Linked DNA regions of Danio rerio. The protein of the gene in region 1 purifies or fractionates together with the protein of each later gene. This does not show direct contact. Links are inferred from orthologs where the notes say so. Each region holds a gene or a part of one and is shown on either strand. Other genes may lie near its edges.

Region 1 (3,657 bases):
TTTAAAATAATTCAACTCAAGTGGAAAATTAGGTGAAAAACAAACTAGAGCAAGCAACCTGGTGCTCCGCATTTGTGTGAACCCAGCATTAGTCACTATTGTCAACAGTTTGTTTGCTTCCCATCTGTGTTTATGCAGACAGTAATTGTTGCTTTGATTCTGAGGTCTTTGATGAGATAATTGAGACGCTTCTGCCTCTTCCGTGTTTCTATTTGTAGAGTTACGGCTTGTGCCATTTCAGAGCCATGATTTGATAGCAAGATACACATTGAACAACTGTGAAAATAACTCGATAATCCTAATAAGTCTGCACTCCAGTAGTTTGCGAAGGATCTTGAGCATCTTAAATCGAAAATCCCCAGTTCTCAATACTGAATGTTACACTTTTCTTACTAAAATGTTCACCTGTGATTAATTCTAAGTCCTTTTCTCTTCTCATTTCAGTCTACTCTCCAGACATGCCTTCACGGCTCCCAGTGCAGGACATTTTCGCAGGACTGGTCACCAGTATAGGCACAGCAATCCGATACTGGTTTCATTACACGCTTGTTGCCTTTGCTTGGCTGGGGGTTGTACCATTAACAGCATGTAAGTGATGCTGAAAAGCCGCAGTCTATCTGTGTTTTGTGCATTGCATGCTGTGTTACTCATATAATGTTCACCTTTTCCTGCAGGTCGCATCTATAAGTGTCTGTTCACTGGATCTGTAAGCTCGCTCCTGACTCTGCCATTAGACATGCTCTCCACGTACGTACCAGACAGGACAGCTCTCAGGTTTTCTCCTTAAAATATTCATTTACGTTGCAGATCAGCTCATTGTGAACTCTGGCCATGAGGGGTTATTTCAATCCTCACTGCAGTCCCGGGTTTAGCTGTGGACATGTGGTTGCGTGGTGAATTGTAATGGTTAGATATTTCTGTAGTGATGATAAGTGAATCCTCGTCCTCTGCAGAGAGAACTTGTTGGCCGACTGCCTGCAGGGCTGCTTTGTGGTGACCTGCACCCTCTGCGCCTTCATCAGTCTGGTGTGGCTGCGGGAGCAGATTGTTCACGGTGGAGCCCCTTTATGGTTGGAGCAGAACCAGCAGCAACCTGCCAATGCCGCAGGACCGCCCAATGAGGTAAAATATCAATGCAGTGTAACGCCTCCTTTCGTCAGACTGAATGCAGATCAGCTTCAAATTTAAACGGACTTAGATTGTCTAATAGACAAGCTATTAAAGTTGAGTTGTTAGATTAAGTATTTAAACAAATTGTTTTATTATTATTGTACAGTTTCTTTTACTTTGTTATTGCTACATTAATTTACTAGCTTTAAACCTTTCAGCAAAAGTTTGAAATTGGCTTTAAAAGAAGTCTCGTCATCAAAGCAGAGCTGAATTACTTCAGTTTTCAGTGTCATAAGATCTTTCATCATTTTATTATGCTGAATTGGTGTTCCAGAAACCATTTTGCTTCTTAATTTTACTCGCCATGAAAAAAAGCCATAGAAGCATCGCATGGTGTTAAACACAATTTATATTTTGTGCATATCTTTTTTTTATACTATATTTTACAGCACAATTCCTGCTGTTAAGAAACCATTTACTATGCTTCAATAAACACTTAATTTGCTGCTTATGTATAGTAGTTAAATTAAAGTAGTTTAAGCTAAAGTAGTTTAACATATAGAATAAGATCATGCAGAATGTGTAAATGTTCTATTAAACAGCCAGTATCTTAATAATAGGCAGGTAATAAGTAAGGCCATTTTTTGCTATTTCTGCTCAGAATTTTGAAAAATAAAATCTGTGGATTTATATAGAAAGATTTTGGGAGAATCATAAGTAAAAACTTGTATATGAAGTAAAAAAAAAAAAACTGTAGCTTTTTAACTTTTATTTCATCTTTACAATGCAAATGCAGCTTGGTTCATTAATTGGTAAACAAAGTAAGTCACTTATATAAAATATCTAAGACACAAAATATACTTTACAAACTGTATTGTAAGTAATTCATATGAGCATTTTCATATTTGACAATAATATTAATGAAATAAATTTCAAAATTGAATAAGTAAAAAGTTACACAAGTACATAAATAGACTCAACGATGGGCTAAAAATCTGTAAAATCAGTGAATTTCTGCATGCTTAGATTCTAGGTGGGACTAGAAGCCACTTGTTAATAGTCAGAATTGGTACTTGAACTAAAGTATTACCTGTTGTATTTCAGCAAATAAAACATTCACATCTTGAATTAAGTAGAATATTTGTTTAATTAATTGAAATTGCAAATGGTAGTGTGACTGCAGTGGCTTAAATATCATAGAGTAAATGTATTTAAAGGAAAAGCAATACAATTTGCACTGTAAAAAGTTATAACCTGGAAGTGTTACTCTAAAGAACCAAATTCCCTTTTTTTTTAAACCGATTTAAGCAATATTTTTGTTAGAATAAACCCATGCATGGTCAGTGATGTTAATTCTGTCTTTTTTTTGCTTGAAATAAGCTAATTTAGATATATATTTTTGTGTAAATAGTCATCGAAACTGGCATGGCATTGAAAATAAACCTTTTTTGTGCATGCAGATCATTGTTTGGTACATTATTGTGATGTGCAGAATTAAAAAAAATATTTTTTGGCCAAAGAATGAACAGTCTTTTTAGGTGGCCTAATCTTCCTTAATAAACCTTTTCACCAGCAACTTTTTTTTTTTTTTATACACAGTGTGAATGACACTCTAGTTGCTGCGTATGTCAGCTAAACTTTCTGAAGCTTGATATTCTTCAGAGACTAATTAAAGAGGTTGCGCCGTGACCCGCTTTGTTTACTTTGCGTCCTACTATAATTATCATTTTGATTTGAGCTCAACACAGTAGCCTGCCTGACCTTCTGTCATTCTCAAATCCCTCATTATCCCCTGAATCTCTGGACACCATTCTCTAACCAGAATAGCTGTTTGTTTCCACTTGGATTGAATCAGATTCAGTTTTCTCTCATGCCAGTGCTTTACCACAAGTTGACTCAGTCATAGGGGACAATTCTCTTTATCATTAATATAATATCTCATCCATCAGGCCCCTGGCCAGGGTAATGGTGGTGCTGAGAACCAGCCCATGCCAGCTCCGGCTGAACCTCCAGCAGAAAACGCTGCAGCTGCTGAGGCTCCTGACCTCCCCGCTGATCCTGCTGAAGAGATGGAGCTTGATAATGAGGATGAGGATGATGGAGGAGCTGAAGATGTGGCAGATGCTAACAATGGAGCACAAGGTACAACATGATACTTTAAACTAATTAGGAATCTCCTCAAAGGGCAAAAATTTAGGATGAGTATGTTTTTAAAAATCTAGAATTTCGAAGGGAGTAATTAGGAATAGTTTTAAGTTATTTAACTGAAATATCTAATGTTTATAATGATATCTAATGTTTAAATGTGTATATGTATATATATTTTTATTTTGTATTAACTTTTATTGAAATATGAAGTTGTTATTGAAGTTATTATTATTTAATGTGTATTTGTCTATGTTGATCTTGAAATAAGTCGGTGGTGTGAAAATAAATAGACAGACAGAATGAACTGTGACTGGTGCAGGAACCCATAGGAACGTTGTGTATGTTTTTTTGCAGATGATATGAACTGGAATGCTCTGGAATGGGACCGTGCAGCTGAAG
Region 2 (3,757 bases), on another chromosome or scaffold:
AAAAACTTGCTGGATAAGTTGGCGGTTCATTCCGCTGTGGCGACCCCGGATTAATAAAGGGACTAAGCCGACAAGAAAATGAATGAATGATAATCATTTGTGGTTTTAATGTGAAGGCATCATGAAAACTACCATCAATTCATACATTTCTGAACCAGATAACAATTCTTTTCTGAACTTTTAACCTTTTTTTCAGAAGCATTTTTCACAAAAATTGGGAACTTTTGAAATTTTACAACTTTATTTTGATAAGATGATGCAATCTAATATATTTAAACACTATAAAAGTCCTTAGTTATGGTTAGTCATGGAAGCTCAAGCATACTAGCATGAGACATAAGTACCAATGAGGTTCATTCTTGTGTGTCAAGAAGTTATGATTGAATTGAATTGGTCGCTCATGTTGATATGTGAATAAAAATACAAAATAAATCTGTTTATTACTGATTGTGTTGCTTCAGAAGGCCTGGATTCATTTAGATTCATTCTGTGACCTCTTTGTGAATGTCATAAAAATTTGAGTCAGTATATGTTCAATAGAGGGACAGAATCTTTCAGATTACATTAACATTTCTTGATTTATATTTGATCATCATAAGGTAAACTGACCACTTATGTCAATGTACTGTAACACAGACTATTTTACACTATTTTGATGAGTTCATGATACACAGTAAAAAGCGATTATTAGTTACTTTACTTTTCTAACCTGTAACGGTTTACTTAATTTGTATAGCTATGCACAAAGTTTGGTTACAAACCATTAGTTACATTAAAGTCAACAGGGTTACTCATTTTAGAGGGATAGTTCACCTAAAATCGAGCATTTCCAGTTGTCACAGACCTGTTTGAGTTTCTTTTTTTCAAGTTAAACACAAAAGAAGTGATTTAGAAAAATGTTGGAAACCTGTAACTATTGACTTCCATAGTATTTGTGTTTCCTACTATGGAAGTCAATGTTTTCTTCAGTTTGAACTGAAAAAAAAAAGATTTTGAACAACTTGAGGGTGTGCAAGCAGTGAGTAATGTATTGGTCACACTTTACAATAAGGTTGTGTTAGTTAATCTTAGTTCATGCATTTACTAACATGAACAGACAATGAACAATACATTTATTACAGCATTTGTTCATGTCAGATAACGTTAGTTCATGATAATACATTTATTCATTGTTGGTTCATGTTAACTCGCTGTGCAATAGCTAATGTCAACAAGTATGAATTTGGATTTTATCAATGCATCGTTAATGTTAAATTATGATTAATAAATGGTTTGAAAGTTGTGTTGTTTATAAATAGTTCAAGTTAAATACATGAACTAATAAAACCTTATGATAAAGTGTGACCAATGTAACAACTATCCAAGTAAAGTCAAATGATTGCTTTTTAGTATAGAATTTGACATTTTTTTATTAGGCAGCATTAGACATTTTGTGTTAATCTTTTTTTAGCTATAAACATGATCTTTTTTTGACTAACCTGTATTTTCCCAGAATCCTTATCCTTGTACTGGACTCCTTTAACACAGCCATTTTCTTCTTCAAGATATGTCACCGTGCCTTCAATGAACCTCACACTCAAAAAATACCAGGTAAATATGTCATTTAAAATGCATAATTACAAAAATATGAATTTTGAACACACCATGTGTTTGTGGTACTTTGGCTCTGCCAGTGCAGCTCTGCGCAGCCCCATGATGAAGCGGCCATGATGGAAAGCTCTTCCACACTGATCCTGATCTTCAGAGTAAGGAATCTCCACAACCATCCTGCTTTCAGTGTCATGGATGATATAACCATTCACAATCTGTGCATTCAACCCCTCTACCGACTCTATAGGAAAGAGGGATCATGGCTCAGAATGGAAACTGAAGCATGGTGACTGGATGATCAAAAAGAAACTCACTCTCCAGGCCTAATTCTATGAGTGCACGATATCCACCAGGTTGAAGCAGTTCACCAACTATTCTGTCCGGCTCTCTCAGACTCCTCTCAATCACTGTAACCTTTCGTCCATCTTGACCAAGAACTGATGCCAGTGAGGAGCCCAAAACCCCGGCCCCTACAATGATGACATCAGGGACATCTGGAGCATCAACATCTCCTGAGCTGGAGGTGCTGTTCTGTGCATAGGTAAGAATAAATACATCTTGGTCTGTAAATATAAAAGATAATGTATAAAAAGTATTCAATTAAAATCAATTATAAGCCTACTATGGTTAGGGGAACTTTCTGACGGTAAGACAGACCAAACGTCTAAATGTAGGTCACTGTCAAGCACCATTAATGAACACACAGAATCACTCAAAAGTCATACCTTAAAATGTCGTGAACTTGAGATGAGCATGGACATTTTATGAGCATAATCATAGACGTTGCTGCACCTGTATCGATGGAGTGTTGAAAGCATGTCATTTATTTACCGAGGGATGTGAGCTGACCTCCACTGTCTGACAGAACATTACATGACGAGCTTAGAGAGTCAGATAACTCCGCCCACTCCGTCAGCCATCCAATCGCATCACTGTACGGTTAGATCAGAGACTTGCGCCCAGCTGACTGGATTTATTTGTTATTCATATATTTTTGAAGATAATCCCTGGTTATGAATATGTTCGAGAGGGCGCCATTCAAAAAAAGACTGAGAAAGAAAAAGATGTCTAGAGTTTCTTGTATAAAAGACCTACTTTATTCTGAGAAATGTATTGGGAAACACATTATTATTATTATTATTATTATTATTATTATTATTATTAAATTGGCATCGAACGTTCCAAAAAGAAAATTTAAAGGAATAATTCACCCAATGATGAAATTCTGTCTTTTAATCACACTTCACTTCAAATTTAGTTTCTTTCTTGAGAACACTTGTGGAATGGAAGGTTCCACAAAAGGATAGTTCACCCAAAATTAAAAATTACTTCATTTTTTATTCTCCCTCATGAGTTTTTTTTTATGTTGAACATAAATTAATATATATTTTTTAAATATTAGTGGGACCCACTGATTTCAAAAGTATTTTTCCTCTACAATGGAAGTCAATTGGTGGTAGCAAACCAACATATTTCAAATATCTTCTGTGTTCAACTTAGGAAAGAAAGTCATGAAGTAGTATAAGGAAAGTTGGCAATTTTTCAATTTTGGGTGAACTATCCTTTAAACATTTGTCGAATCTTTACATTCTACAAGTGACTTTTATAATTTAAAAAATGTTAGATTCTTAAACCCTTTTCATACTAAAATTAAATGCTTCTTTTAATTGTTTAATTTTTGTTGTTGTTGTTTTTAAGAAAGAAAGCTCTCAGGCCTTTTTGTATTCATTTATTAACTAAAAAAAACAAACCATGCAAGATACAGATTTATCTTTGGTTTAGTTTTAGCTCACAGCAAATCATGACAGAAACTAATTTGAATAACTCAAAACAATATCAATTCACACGAGAAAGTAAATCATAATCGACAATAATAAACAACATGCAAACTTACAATTATGGTGTCAAATCTGTTTATTAAAATGTCTTCTAATTTTTCTGGCTTTCTATTAAACGGTCCAGTTTTGTCTGCAAGTCTGCAACACAGTCGTGTATTGGTGATCTTGAGAAGTCTACAGAGCGCTGGAAGTACTTTGTGATATCAGCCTGCATATTGAGTTGACGTGCTATAGGGTCATTGGATATCAACAAGTTTATCTCTTCCTCTATTAACCTTAAAGTAACATGGGGCTCACGATAGCCGCAAACGACTTCTTGTCTAGCATAA

What was found.
Region 2: the proteins of marchf6 (region 1) and sqleb purify together in Homo sapiens (affinity purification with western blotting; 4 studies listed by BioGRID and IntAct, with this or other methods). This does not show direct contact. The link is inferred for Danio rerio from reciprocal best matches to the Homo sapiens genes MARCHF6 and SQLE.

The regions. Positions count from the first base shown.
Region 1 is NC_133177.1:33,459,623-33,463,279, forward strand, and holds part of marchf6 (E3 ubiquitin-protein ligase MARCHF6), read left to right. Parts: intron 1-444; coding exon 445-588; intron 589-674; coding exon 675-747; coding exon of another isoform or gene 748-774; intron 775-953; coding exon 954-1,122; intron 1,123-3,059; coding exon 3,060-3,252; intron 3,253-3,612; coding exon 3,613-3,657. UniProt on the Homo sapiens protein: Endoplasmic reticulum membrane-associated E3 ubiquitin ligase that plays a critical role in mitigating endoplasmic reticulum stress, the regulation of cholesterol and lipid homeostasis, and ferroptosis.
Region 2 is NC_133194.1:8,354,302-8,358,058, reverse strand, and holds the start of sqleb (squalene monooxygenase), read right to left. Parts: upstream 2,502-3,757; 5' UTR 2,461-2,501; coding exon of another isoform or gene 2,422-2,460; 5' UTR 2,414-2,421; coding exon 2,316-2,413; intron 2,122-2,315; coding exon of another isoform or gene 2,117-2,121; coding exon 1,905-2,116; intron 1,832-1,904; coding exon 1,660-1,831; exon of another isoform or gene 1,576-1,659; coding exon 1,479-1,575; exon of another isoform or gene 1-1,478. UniProt on the Homo sapiens protein: Catalyzes the stereospecific oxidation of squalene to (S)-2,3-epoxysqualene, and is considered to be a rate-limiting enzyme in steroid biosynthesis.